Macaca fascicularis: one gene and its partners. The protein of the gene in region 1 interacts with the protein of each later gene in a pairwise test. Links are inferred from orthologs where the notes say so. Each region holds a gene or a part of one and is shown in the gene's direction. Other genes may lie near its edges. The genes, in order: MEOX2, SHFL and MAPKBP1.

The links.
Region 2: the proteins of MEOX2 (region 1) and SHFL interact in binary tests that used the Homo sapiens proteins (3 or more experiments, as listed by UniProt). The two-hybrid records come from large-scale screens. The link is inferred for Macaca fascicularis from reciprocal best matches to the Homo sapiens genes MEOX2 and SHFL.
Region 3: the proteins of MEOX2 (region 1) and MAPKBP1 interact in binary tests that used the Homo sapiens proteins (3 or more experiments, as listed by UniProt). The two-hybrid records come from large-scale screens. The link is inferred for Macaca fascicularis from reciprocal best matches to the Homo sapiens genes MEOX2 and MAPKBP1.

Annotation. Positions count from the first base shown.
Region 1 is NC_088377.1:114,505,643-114,510,806, forward strand, and holds the start of MEOX2 (homeobox protein MOX-2), read left to right. Parts: upstream 1-1,830; 5' UTR 1,831-2,109; coding exon 2,110-2,623; exon of another isoform or gene 2,624-2,670; intron 2,671-5,164. UniProt on the Homo sapiens protein: Mesodermal transcription factor that plays a key role in somitogenesis and somitogenesis and limb muscle differentiation. Required during limb development for normal appendicular muscle formation and for the normal regulation of myogenic genes.
Region 2 is NC_088393.1:10,637,618-10,641,386, forward strand, and holds the end of SHFL (shiftless antiviral inhibitor of ribosomal frameshifting protein), read left to right. Parts: intron 1-214; coding exon 215-318; intron 319-440; coding exon 441-595; intron 596-1,064; coding exon 1,065-1,297; 3' UTR 1,298-1,581; coding exon of another isoform or gene 1,582-1,772; 3' UTR 1,773-2,242; downstream 2,243-3,769. Other genes in the region: ANGPTL6 (angiopoietin-related protein 6), read right to left, coding at 1,582-1,772, 2,346-2,616, 2,690-2,877.
Region 3 is NC_088381.1:18,402,773-18,407,836, forward strand, and holds part of MAPKBP1 (mitogen-activated protein kinase-binding protein 1), read left to right. Parts: intron 1-266; coding exon 267-437; intron 438-825; coding exon 826-963; intron 964-1,228; coding exon 1,229-1,411; intron 1,412-1,641; coding exon 1,642-1,659; intron 1,660-1,931; coding exon 1,932-2,092; intron 2,093-2,847; coding exon 2,848-3,037; intron 3,038-3,556; coding exon 3,557-3,703; intron 3,704-3,921; coding exon 3,922-4,097; intron 4,098-4,881; coding exon 4,882-4,973; intron 4,974-5,064. UniProt on the Homo sapiens protein: Negative regulator of NOD2 function. It down-regulates NOD2-induced processes such as activation of NF-kappa-B signaling, IL8 secretion and antibacterial response. Involved in JNK signaling pathway.

The DNA of each region.
Region 1 (5,164 bases):
TTCGAAGTCTAAAACAATATTAGATTCCCAAAGTATCGGCAAAGAAATTCTTACCGTCAAAGACTTGCAGCAGGTTTCAGCTCAGACCCAGACTGAAAAGCTGAGCAGCTGGTGAACAAAAGTTTTAGTTTTTTTTTTTTTTTTTAAACGAAGTCTGCAAAACTAATTTCCCTCAAAATAGAGCTCAATTTCCGTTAAAGAAAGCAGCGCTTACAAATCTCAGAATTCCTGATCAACCCCCACTCCACCCCACCTCTAAGCAATAGAAAACAATTCGATCTTTCACACGGATGTTTTTGAGAAGCCACTATTCTACAGCATGACTTACAAGAAAAGAAGATAGTGAGGCTTAAGCAGGGGGACTGGAAGAGGAGGGGGAAGGTTCTGCTTTGGGGACACCTCTCAAAGATTAATCAATACTTTTTCCTAATTCAAACCAGATGTCTAGCCCAGTTTGCTGTACCCATTAATCCCACTAACAACTTCAAAGACCTGCTCATCATCCTCTGGACACCTGAGACAATGAAAATAACGGGGCGACACTGCTGGTGGTGCATTTGGGGCCCCGGGCGGAATAGGTGACTACAGATATTCTCCTGATGCGACAGGTCCCAGATGGGACTTGACTGTTTCTCCTGCTCATTACAGAGCCACTCACTTGTGTGTAAACGACTCTGCCCCCAGCGGACCCTGTCACCCGCCAAACAAGTGGCAGTCTCAAAGCCCTGCCATCGTTCTTGCATGCTTACTGGAGGCAAATTTTCTAATTTATTTTCACGGATGCAAAGTTATAGCCAAGTGCCCAAGCTTAGTGAATTTTGGGAGCTATCGAAATGTAAGATTTCTCAGTAAATGGGACGGTGGTGATAAGGGATGCGATTAGCGGATTTATTTTTGAGGGGAAGAGAGTGGATTTCTGTAGGAAACTGCGGAGACCTAGGCTAGCTCCTGAGGGGAAAGGCTAGATATGTGCGTGCAATCTACACATCTCATGTGACCGGGACAAAATCGCCTGGAAATATTTTTGACCCAGGAAAATTTCTTCTTGGTGGACAAGTGGCTAGGAAATTGAGCGGGACCAGGAAAGAGGGGGAAGGGAGACTCCACCTGGCATCGCACAAGAGGATGCCAGGGAACAGGCATCTGCAACCCTTTCAGACTCACGCCTTCCTCCCACCCACCCTACCGGGTCCCTCTTGGTTCCGCACTGAGAACTGCCTTTTCCAGGCCATGGTACTCATCCCCACAACCTCAGATCTGGCGTCCCAGCCCATTAACAATCCACCCACAGAAACCAGCTGTGAAAACCTAGGCGCGCTGCGGCGCCCAGGGCACTGGAAGATGCGAAGTTTGAAAAACTTCGAGGATGCGCCTAACTAGCTCTGATCTTTTCGTTTAACCCTATTACTTCTTTTGGGTTCCTGAAAGGCTAGGCATATCCCTAGCTTTTCTGCAGGTGACAGTTCACAAATGACACTGACAAATCACGATTCCCGGAGAGGAAAGTGAGTAGGTAGGAATCAGGGTGCTGGGTTGGGGGTGGTGTGCGCCGCGCCCAGGCCTCCAGAGTCTGGAGGGCAGAGCTGCTGCCCTCCCGGGCGGGACTTAGGCACTGGCGTGCCGCTTGTAGCCCTGGCAGCCGGCAGTGCTGGGCGGGCGTGGACGCTCTGCGTCTGTCCAGCAGGCGATAGGAAGTGGAACTGGGGAGCGCGTGGCGCAAACTGAGCGGGAGTTTTGGAGGGAGTTTGCATGTGGTCAACTCTGGGCTCCTAAGCCGGCCCCCAGCTCACGTTACACTCTATTTATAACCTCTCAGAGCCATTTCCCCCTGAAAGCAGTTCTCTGGGACCACCTTCTTTTGGCTTCAACCTCTCCCACTCTTGACATCTGAGTAGTTCAGGGAAGCTCTTCCAGGTCCGACTGTTCATATGCAAAGGAGACTGGTCGCTGGGGCTCAGAACCGGGATTATCCGAGCTCTGCAGAAGTGCACGGCTATTGCTTTGGGAGGGTAAAAAAAAATCATACGGTTTCCAGTGAAAAGTGACAGAGGGTGGTGACCTTTGGAACCGTCCTGAAGTCTTCTGCCTGGAACCTGAAACTTGCATGCTATGGAACACCCGCTCTTTGGCTGCCTGCGCAGCCCTCACGCCACGGCGCAAGGCTTGCACCCGTTCTCCCAATCTTCTCTCGCCCTCCATGGAAGATCTGACCATATGTCTTACCCCGAGCTCTCTACTTCTTCCTCATCTTGCATAATCGCGGGATACCCCAACGAAGAAGGCATGTTTGCCAGCCAGCATCACAGGGGGCACCACCACCACCACCACCACCACCATCACCATCATCAGCAGCAGCAGCACCAGGCTCTGCAAACCAACTGGCACCTCCCGCAGATGTCTTCCCCACCGAGTGCGGCTCGACACAGCCTCTGCCTCCAGCCCGACTCCGGAGGGCCCCCAGAGTTGGGGAGCAGCCCTCCGGTCCTGTGTTCCAACTCTTCCAGCTTGGGCTCCAGCACCCCGACTGGGGCCGCGTGCGCGCCGGGGGACTACGGCCGCCAGGCACTGTCACCTGCGGAGGCGGAGAAGCGAAGCGGTGGCAAGAGGAAAAGCGACAGCTCAGGTAAGGGCGCACCAGGCACCCTCGAGAGTGCGCGCCGGCCTGGAAAGGGGGCGGAGAGATGCCAGGGGAGATTCTCGCACTACAGGGTGGCAGCGGGGAATATGGGAATGTGTTGCCCTTTGTGGCTTCCCGCGGCCAAATTCGGCGGTGAAGCTTTGGTCCTGATATTTGGGGGACACGTGTTTATCCGAGAGCAATGCATATACAGCCAGCAGCTCTAAGCTCTCCAAGGTCCTAAACTAGTTTACCAGAAGGTTGATAAAAAAGGACAAGTGGCTGTGAAATCGATTGCGAAGCGTGACCTTCCATCCCAGCGCTGGGGAGGGAGGGGCGTGCGCCCAGAGATGCAGCGTCGGTTGGGCAGGCGTGCGTGCGGGTGCCGCTTCTTGACTTTTCTCTTGCAAGTTCCCGACTGTGAGTGGCTCGATTTTTCCCATCGTTAACTGGATTTCCAAATCATTGCACAATATTTGGAACTTGCAGTGGAACTTGGCAGAGCGCATGAGAAAAAAAAAAGTTTTAGTTTTTTTTTTTTTTTTTCTAACATTCTTATTTCAGCGTTCTTTAAATAGCACCCTATTTCAAATGGTAAAATTTTCCCTTTATTGGGGAAAAAGACATTATCTAGGAATTCAGATTTTAAGGAATGTGTCAGAGAATTGTAAATAAATAGATGCTCACATTGGAAGAAAGACGAACCTTAATAGTACATGTTCATGTGGTGTAAGCTAATTACAGAATCAACGTTTCAAAAGTGGAAAACAAATCCCTCTACCAAGTGGGTATTAGTAGAGACAAATACAGCGAAGCAACAGTAGCTCGGGTAGTGTTAGTTAGCTACGTGCCTGAAGGTGGTATGTAAGGGTGCGCGCAGGAGGCGCTGATTTTAGTGGGGGATAATTTGAGCAGCCACGGAAAAGGGAAACCTTTCTGACCTCTGGTACTTGAAGACACACTTGCCGAGTAACTTTTCTGTAGCAATCCAGAGAAACTCAAAGTTTTCCAGACCACTTTTCAAAGCTCTTACCTACCTGTATTATCATAAAATTGTTAAAAGATACTTTAAAATTAAGAGACTTGTGAGTTTTCTTTCGTGGCTATAGTGCAACCTGGATTGCATATTTTTGGAAGATATCATTTGTTTAATATAACATTTGCATATTTTTCTTCCTCTGCGGAATTGGGTTAATAATAGTCCTAGAAGGTAATCCCATATGTTGGTTTGAAGTATTGGACAAATGTTTATCGTGTATAAAGCTTTAGGTAAGATGCCACCTAAATGAAAATGATTGACCGCATATTTAATATTCCTTCACCCTTCACAGCAATATCAATTGTTATTCAGCAATCCTATGGGATGGATTCTTCTGTCATGGTCTCAAAAGCTAACTTTTATTTTCCAAGGTCAGGGGGTGAACTTTTAATGTTCTGTCACAAATTAGTTTTTATAAGAAAATTACCAGTAGTGTCACTGATATTTAATGTACTTTCCTAACTATAAGTGAAAGTCTCTTTAGATAGTGAGTTGAATGGTTAATCATAGCAAGAAGGTTTCAATTTGTATTAGAAAAACAGTCAATTTTAGAATGCAGTGACAATTTCATAAACCGAACATTTGATATCAGTGTCACTTTGGAAGCAGATCCCAGTTCAGGTTGATGAGAGTACTCTTGCAATTCCCGTAAGCTCTTACTGTTCATTTTATTTTTTGCAATGAGTAACCTACATGACAGATTGTCCTTTATGCTTCCTGAACTGAGCCATTGCTCTTAAGTTTCTTAGGGCAAACTGAATTTTCATACAAGCACATGTTATTTTGTTTGGGGGAAACCAAGAAAGTGGAATTCAGTAACTGATTCCCTTAATTTATTTTAATAATTTTTTTAAAGTGGAATAATTTAACAAAACGTGTTTATCTCTCCTCCTAACTTAGTGGGAAATAACCATTTAACAAAATTAAGTTCATTTCTACATGTTGAAGCTGATAATGAGGGTACTGGAAAAACAAGCCAATATAAGTGTTTGTGTCAGCTGCATAAATTATTAACAGATTAAAACTTGAGTGGAAAGTACAATTAGTCATCACCAAGGATAAAAATACTGGGGACTTAGGACGAGCTTTTCTTTCCTTTGATATTTTGAAGAAATATTGACTAAAAGGAAGTATCCCAATAATTTCTGTTTAAATCTATGTACACTTATTGAAAATAAAATTTTATTTTCCAATTTCAGCTTGAGGTATATTTGTCAGATATTCAGATAGATTTAAATTAAAGATATCTTTCTCGTGTAACAATTGCATTAGGTTTTCCATAAGTTATCTTCAAAGATATTTTATTTCATAGACATCTTGATCCAGCACAAACTAAAGCAACATTGAAAATGATTATGATCCTGGTATGCTATTAATACGTATATCTCTCATTGTTTATAGCACATTTTAGTATTTCACTATTTGTAAAAAACAAAATTGAAGTGCTTTCAGAACTCCTGAAATTTAAAATTGTGTTAGATAAAAATCTCATCCTATATAGTGAGACC
Region 2 (3,769 bases), on another chromosome or scaffold:
GCAGGAAGCCAAGATGTGTAGTGTTTGCCAATTTCTGTGGTGTAAGTATTCCCACCATGGTCAATATGAGGCTACCCATGTGAAGTCACTGATTGAGTTGGGTTGCTCAAGCTGAGGCCAGCCACTGCAGCACACTTCTAGCCCTGACCCCAACCTCAGACACCTCTGACAATCCTTGGTCCCCTCTCTGCACGCCCCCCCCCACCACCACCAGGTATCCCGGTGCCGGAAATGCCGGAAGCGCTACGAGCCAGTGCCAGCTGACAAGATGTGGGGCCTGGCTGAGTTCCACTGCCCGAAGTGTCGGCACAACTTCCGGTGAGGGCGCTGACCCCCAGCTCCCCCTCAGCCCTGCCCCACCCCAGCCCTGCCCCTCCCTGCCCTGGCCCCACCCTGGCCCAGCCTCGCCCTCGGACCCTCACAGCCCTGCCCGCCCCCAGGGGCTGGGCACAGATGGGGTCCCCGTCCCCCTGCTACGGGTGCGGCTTCCCCGTGTATCCAACACGGATCCTCCCCCCGCGCTGGGACCGGGACCCGGATCGCCGCAGCACCCACACTCACTCCTGCTCGGCCGCCGACTGCTACAACCGGCGAGGTGAGGCTTTTCTCCTCCAACATCCTGGGCAGTCTTTGTCCCCTTCTGTGCCTTTAAGTCCCCAAATCTCCACTCAGTCCACTTCGTCTCCCACAGCAGCAGCCACTGCTTCTACGTGGCCTCCATGGCCCCCCAGTCTCCGTGGTCTTGCCCACGAGGCTCTGAGGTTTCACCCCAGTGGCCCATGCCTGAGGGTCTCCATGGCCTCTGCCCCCATGGTCTCTGGGTTTGGGGCCCCTGTTTTGTCCCCTGTAATCTCAGGTGACCCCCCATGTCCCCAGGTCTCCTGTATCTTCAACACCCCTGAATGTCCAGTTGTGCTGGTCCCCGTATATTGTGGCCTCAGCTCTTCCCTAGAGCCCCTCGTGGCCTCAGCCCCTCCCTAGAGCCCCTCGTGGCCTCAGCCCCCTCCTGCCCAAACTCTCATGGGACCTGGAGTCCCATGTCTGCAGCACCTCTCCCTCCCTAGAGCCCCACGTGCCTGGGACATCCTGTGCTCACCCCAAGAGCCGGAAGCAGAACCACCTGCCCAAAGTGCTCCACCCCAGCAACCCTCACATTAGCAGTGGCTCCACTGTGGCCACCTGCTTGAGCCAGGGCGGCCTCCTGGAAGACCTGGACAACCTCATCCTGGAGGACCTGAAGGAGGAGGAGGAGGAAGAGGAAGAGGTGGAGGACGAGGAGGGCGGGCCCAGGGAGTGACCCCTGCCAGGTGCAGATACAAACCAGACACGGTCTGTGGCTACTTTGTGTTATTATAAGATATGAGCTCAAACCGAGATATGAATGACCTTGGGGAGCCATCTGGGGCCAAGATATTGACAGGGGGGGATTCCTGGGGCCCATTTTCAGCACCCAGGGTCACAGATCCACAGTGGGAGGTTCTGTGGGACACACTGGCACTGAGCCACAAAGGTGTGGCCAGGACAACTTGAGTTCCTGCTGACCAATGTCCCCTGGGGCCTAGGGGACAGAGGAACAGAGAGTCACAGCTTCAGGGGCCGAATGAGCATGGCGGCCTTCCTGAGAGAGTATGCTCCACCACGAAACTCAGCCCAGTAGACACCATCCTGGTAGCGGCTTCGGTAGTGGCCGCCGCGGTGCCACATACCGTTGAGGTTGGAGTGGGCACAGGCATGGTACCACCAGCCTCCCCGCTGGTACAGGGCACAGTTACCTGAGGGGAGAGAGAGAGTCCATGTCCTCTCACCAGAATAAAAGTCTCTACCTGCACCTCACAGTGCAAGGCTTTTGCCAGGTATCCCCTGGCCCCTCCCATTCTTATTTAATACAAGCCCTGATCTTCCATCTCCTCAGCAAAAAAATAGGAGCCCTGGCCCCCCAACTTTCTTCGGAGTAATAGCCTTAATTCCTTCCCTATCTCCTTACCAAAGTACGAGTCACACCTTTCCCACTTTTTCTGCAAACTAGGAGTCTACCACTCATTCCTTTATCAAAGAAAAGAAAATTACCTACTTCCTTTCTAGATAAGAGTACTAGCTCTCACCCTCTGCCCTTCACTTGAACAGGAGTCTTGATTCTTTTTTTGCCTCATCAGAGAAGGAATCTGGACTCCCCATACCCCCACCAGGATAAAAGTCCTGACCTTTGTTCTCTTGACAGAATAAAAGCTTGCTTATCCTACTACTTACCAGAGGGGCGTCTTACCTACCCTACCTCCTTTCATTCCCTCACCAGAACAGGAGTCCCACCTCCCCTATCCTCCCACCAGAATAAGAGTTCTCCTTACCAGAATAAGAGTCTCGGTCCCTATCCACGGTGCTGAAGGGCTTGTCATTGTGCCAGGAAAGAGAGTCTCCAGCATCACCATGGTACTGGCCAAGCCGCAGGCGGTAGTGGTCGCTCTCAGGTTCCAGGGAGAAGCCATCATAGTGGGCACGTGCTCCACGGCCTCCCCAGTCTTCCAGGAGAACCAGCAGCTCATGGTCCCCACGGCTGGTCAGCTGATACACGGGTTCAAGGCCCAGCCAGTATTCTCCGTCTGGCCGCCCAAAGCCCGCCTGGCAGGGCAGGAAAGTCAGGAAGCCAGAACAGGCTCCCTCCCCTTCCCTGTCTCTGCCCACCTGTGCCCACCTTATAGTGCTGCCAGGTAGTGAAGAAGTTGACTGAACCATCTTGCCTCCGCTGGATCACAGTCCAGCCTCCACCCTCCAGCTGCTGTTCACACCATGCTGACACCACATGCCGGCCCACTCGCAGTTCATACACTCCACTCTGTTCATGGCCTGCCTGGCGGGCCTCTGCACAATCCTGCCATGGGCCTGTGGGCACAGGGATATGTGGGAGGCACAGCCTGGGCTGACCAATCCCTTACTGGAGCAAGAGTCGAGATTCTCACAGGTCCCCTCACCAGAATAAGAGTCCTGCCTCTCCCACTTTTCTACCAGAATCCTGCCTCTCCCATTTCCTCACCAGCATAAGAGGCCTGCCTCTCCCATTTCCTCACTAGAATTCGAGCCCCAATAGCCATTTCCTTACCTGAGTAAGAATCTGGGTCCCTTGTCTCTAACCAGAGGAAATGCCAAGCCTGGGGTTCTTTCTTTCTTTTTTTTTTTTTTTTTTTTTTTTTTTTTTTTTTTTTTTGAGACAGAGTCTCGCTCTGTCGCCCAGGCTGGAGTGCAGTGGCGCGATCTCGGCTCACTGCAAGCTCCGCCTCCCGGGTTCACGCCATTCTCCTGCCTCAGCCTCCCGAGTAGCTGGGACTACAGGCGCCCACAACCGCGCCCGGCTAATTTTTTGTATTTTTAGTAGAGACGGGGTTTCACCGTGGTCTCGATCTCCTGACCTTGTGATCCGCCCGCCTCGGCCTCCCAAAGTGCTGGGATTACAGGCGTGAGCCACCGCGCCCGGCCTTTCTTTTTTTTTTTTTTTTTTTGAGACAGAGTCTCGCTCTGTCGCCCAGGCTGGAGTGCAGTGGCGTGATCTTGGCTCACTGCAAGCTCTGCCTCCCGGGTTCACGCCATTCTCCTGTCTCAGCCTCCCGAGTAGCTGGGACCACAGGTGCCCGCCACCATGCCCAGATAATTTTTTGTATTTTTAGTAGAGACGGGGTTTCACCGTGTTAGCCAGGATGGTCTCGATCTCCTGACCTCATGATCTGCCTGCCTCGGCCTCCCAAAGTGTTCGGATTACAGGCATGAGCCACCGCGCCCG
Region 3 (5,064 bases), on another chromosome or scaffold:
AGAACCATTCAGGGAGCCTTGAATAACTAGAAGTACAGACGGGCACCCAGAGATGCTGACTAAACTCCAGGGCCACTTTCTCCCTGATAATCACTGTTGCTCTCAGATCTTTACCATATTTCCTCTGTACCCTGCCCTGACTTTTGGCCGGGAGAATGATGGTATCCAGTGACTGAGGAGGCGAGGGCCCCACTCTGGAAAACAAACGGGGGCTGTATGCCTGTGGAGAACTCAAGAACTCACTTCCAGTTCTTGCCTCCTTGCAGAGTGGGCACATGCCCGCCGTGCGGGTTTGGGACGTGGCAGAGCGCAGCCAGGTGGCCGAGCTGCAGGAGCACAAGTATGGTGTGGCTTGTGTGGCTTTCTCTCCTAGCGCCAAGTACATCGTCTCTGTGGGCTACCAGCATGACATGATCGTCAACGTGTGGGCCTGGAAGGTGAGTGGCTGGGTGGGATGGCCTGGCAGCCTCACAGGGGTCAAGTGTCAGCTGAGGAGGCAAGAGACTGCTGGCCTGCATGGCTCCACTCCACCCCACTGAACCATTCTCATTCTGGAAAGTTATTTGAAGCAGAAAAGAGCAACCATGTGGCCAAGCATGTTGGTGGAAGGAGCTAACTTTATGCCTTCAAGGACTTCTGCAGGAAATGAATCTTTTCAGCTCCTCTAGAAAGGGATTATTTCCCCACCCCTCTTTTTCTGGCCAGTAAATTCTGGAAAGAAACGCTTTTTCAAGTACAAATTCGAATTCTCCTCCATTCTCTGAGTCACTGTCTTCTTAGCTCCAAGAGACAGGGCCTTGATTCTTCCTTTGGCATCCCCTCTAGAAAAACATTGTGGTGGCCTCCAACAAGGTGTCCAGTCGGGTGACAGCAGTGTCCTTCTCTGAGGATTGCAGCTACTTTGTCACTGCAGGCAACCGGCACATCAAATTCTGGTATCTCGATGACAGCAAGACCTCAAAGGTGAGGTGCTAAAGCTGCGAGTAGCCACCAAGTCCCCAGCCAGGGCCTGCCCAGCCCACCCCAGGAGACTCTGGCCGACTTGGGCCTCTCTCTGCATTCCCAGCAGTCATGCAGAAGTTTTGGATGAGCCAGATGCTGTCTGGGCTGAGGAGTAGGCCCAAAGAGCAAGGGGGTGCTGGAGGCATCCCCTGTCCTCTCCTAGGGCCTGGTTTCCAGGGGCAGGCTCTGGGGTGGATAGGGGGGTAACAGTGGTGTACCTCCACAGGTGAATGCCACTGTGCCCCTGCTGGGCCGCTCAGGGCTGCTGGGAGAGCTGCGGAACAACCTATTCACTGATGTGGCCTGTGGCAGAGGGAAGAAGGCGGACAGCACCTTCTGCATCACGTCCTCGGGGCTGCTGTGCGAGTTCAGTGATCGAAGGCTTTTGGACAAGTGGGTGGAGCTGAGGGTAAGTACCTCCGTCCCCAGGGGTAGGGTCTACCCATGTCTCAGCTTAGGGGAGAACTAGTGCCCAGGGCTTCAGACTAGGGGCTGGGCCCTCATGCATACGGGAGATCCCAGGAGAATGAAGCTTGGGGGAGCTAGAGCTTGGCCCAGTTCCAGCCCTTGGTGATCTGTGTAACTGCCTCCTCTCTGCTCTTTCTGTCTCTCTTTCCCCTGCTTTCCTCTTCTGCTCAGAACACAGACAGCTTCACAGTAAGTGGTGCCTGCACCCTCCTTTCTTTCTCATGCTGTTTCTTTCTCTTCACTGGGCTTTTCTTACTGGATCCTCTGGTGCCTAGAAGAATCCTCGATTCCTATCCCCTGGCTGGACAGGGCTGAGGGCTCAGAATAGAGCAGCTGGGCAGCTTTTCCCTTGCCCCTGCCTTGGCCGGTCCTTCCTCTTGGCAGGTGGCTGTTGATGGGCGGGGAGGAGAGAAGACTGAGTGGGCAGGTGGCCTTGCTGAGCTGAGCCACTCTGCCCACAGACCACAGTGGCCCACTGCATCTCTGTGAGCCAAGACTACATCTTCTGTGGCTGTGCTGATGGCACCGTGCGCCTTTTCAACCCCTCTAACCTGCACTTCCTTAGCACCTTGCCCCGACCCCATGCTCTGGGGACAGACATTGCCAGCATCACTGAGGCCAGGTGAGCTATGTGGGCCCCCCTTCCTCCATTCGTAGCCTTACCCCTGCCCAGTCTTTCTTGTCAGTGCCTCAGGGAGCAGGCGAAGAGTGTACTGATGCCCCAGAGATTACTGGGAACACCTCTTTAGACAGAAGAATTTGGGTTTATTGGTACTTGTTGCAACCAAGGAGACCCCACCCTGTGGAGAACTGTGGAGAGTCTCAGTAAGTGGGTGTTAGAAGGGGCATATGGGATTTGGGCTTGCGTTGGGTGATTTTAGGAGTAGTTCAAGGGATTGAAGTATTCTGGTTGGATGCTGTCAGGAACTAGGGGCAATTCTACAGTGGCACATCTTGTTAATTTATCTAAGAGGTGAAGGAAAGGTATGGGGCTAAAGCTGTATTTGGTCAAGAAGCCGCCAGCAGTCATGTAGATGGGAAAGGCGGTGTTCGGTCATTGTCGTGGTTTGTGTGGTGATCTTGTTTTTATCTGTGCACAGAGTAGTCTTGGTTTTGTTTTGCCCCATCACAGCCATAGAATTACCTGTCTAACGTTGGTGTTCTGTGAAACTGTTCATCCGAACACCATGGCCCAGCAGCTAGTGCCGGGTCAGGTTCCTGCTAATGGCTAGTAGGGGCTCCTTTCTTCTCTCAAGCAACTACTTCCAAACCTGCAGGTCCGGGAAGGGCTCCTCACGCACTGCTCCTTCCATTGTGGATTGGCTTCTCTTTTCAGTCCCTTCAGTCTCACTAGTGTGCCCTGTCCTCTCCCTACAGTCGCCTCTTCTCTGGAGTGGCCAATGCCAGGTATCCAGACACCATTGCCTTGACCTTTGATCCTACTAATCAGTGGCTGTCTTGTGTGTACAACGATCATAGCATTTATGTTTGGGATGTGAGGGACCCCAAGAAAGTGGGCAAGGTGTACTCGGCTCTGTATCATTCTTCCTGCGTCTGGAGTGTGGAGGTATGTGGGCTGGCTGGCTGGCTGGAGACTGGCCAGGTTGGCTGGGATACCATTTTGAGGACAGAAAGTAGGGATCCCCAAGTATAATCTTAGATTCCTGCTGCCTCCCTGTTTCTCCAGTGAATTCCCTGGGATAGATCCCGGGGACTGAATTTGAATGTTACAGGCTTCCCCAGTGTGCCCCATCTTTAGTTTTGCCTCGGTGATCTTGAACAAGTTATTGAATTTGACCAAGCCTCAGTTTCCTCAACTGTAAAATGGTGTACTTGCTTCACCTAATTGTTCTAAGAATACAATGAAATAATGTAAGTGGGAGGCATAGAAGAGTGCCTGATTTATAGTGGGTGCTTCCCCTTGGTCATAATGAAGAGTCTATACTAGCTATGTATGGCCTGTGACAGGCACTGGACTAAGTCCTGGCCACCATTCCCTCTTTCGTCCCATTCCCTTTCATCTCCTTGGGTAGGCAGAGGACTGCTCCCAAATGGAGGTCTGATTGTGTTCCCTCGGCCCCTTCAGGTCTACCCCGAGGTGAAGGACAGTAACCAGGCCTGCCTGCCCCCTAGTTCCTTCATTACCTGCTCCTCAGACAACACCATCCGCCTATGGAATACAGAGAGCTCCGGGGTGCATGGCTCCACCCTCCACCGAAACATCCTCAGCAGTGTGAGCCCTGAGGCTGTGGGGCCCTGCTTCACCCTCAGTGCCCCCCTCCTCACAGCTTTTGCACGTTGTTATTGGGAACGGGTCCCTAGGCCTTGGCTTTCCAGCCTTCATTTGGCTGTGCTCTGTGGTCCAAGGGTTTGTTTTGCCCAGCTGTCTTGCCCCTTACAGCTGTACTGGTCAGGCCTGCCTCATCTACCTCTTCTAACCTGTTCCACTAGGACCTCATTAAAATCATCTATGTGGATGGGAACACCCAGGCCCTGCTGGACACAGAGCTGCCTGGAGGAGACAAAGCAGATGCGTCCCTGATGGATCCCCGCGTGGGCATCCGCTCGGTGTGTGTCAGCCCCAATGGACAGCATCTAGCATCAGGGGACCGTATGGGCACACTTAGGTAATGCCAGGCCCTGGGTGGGTACTGACTGCCACTCGTGGTGCAGAGTCAGGTGTTTAGAACTTTACGGAGGGTTGGGCTCAAAAAGGTTGGGCAACAAGATACTTATTTACAAGGGAAAGGTAGTAACTTTACAATGAGTAAACCTAGCAGAAATCATCTTCCCCAAGTGGTCATACACTAACATCCTCATATCAACATCCTCATGTCAACATCATGATGCCCGTAATAGGATGTACTAGGAAGAATGTGACAATGTTTCAACATTGTTGTGGTATTCTTACCAAAAATGCATAAACTCAATGTAGGCGTGAGAAAACATCCAACAAACTCAAATTGAGGTACATACCACAGAGTAACTGATCATTACTCTTCAAAAGCATCAAGATCATGAAAAGTAAAGAAAGACTGGAGAACTGTTGCAGACCACAGAAATCTAAGGAGAAGTAACTAAATGCAATTTGGACTCTGGATAGGATCTGGAGTCAAGAAAAAGGACATAGCAGGAAAACTGGGGAAATTTGAATAAGTTTTCTAATTAATAGTATTATACCAACATAAATTTCCTAGTTTTGATAATTAGACTATTGTTATGTAAGATGTTAACATTAGGGAAAGCTGGGTAAGGGAAATATGGAAGCGCTCTGTTCTTTCAGCAACTTTTCTCTAAGCCTAAAAGTTCACAAAAAGGAAAAAGGTAGGAGGAGAAAATGTAGAAGTGGGCGTGAGTCCTTCTTCCTGCGACCTGGCCATCGCCTCTTCCCACCTCTCCTCATCTTTGCAGGGTGCACGAACTTCAGTCCCTGAGTGAAATGCTGAAGGTGGAGGCCCATGACTCTGAGATTCTGTGCCTGGAGTATTCTAAGCCAGACACAGGTCAGGAGAATGCCCGGAATGGCACAGGGCTCCTGCAGTCCTGCCGGTGCCACTTATATTTGTCCTGGCTCTTGGATGTGGGGTCGGTAAT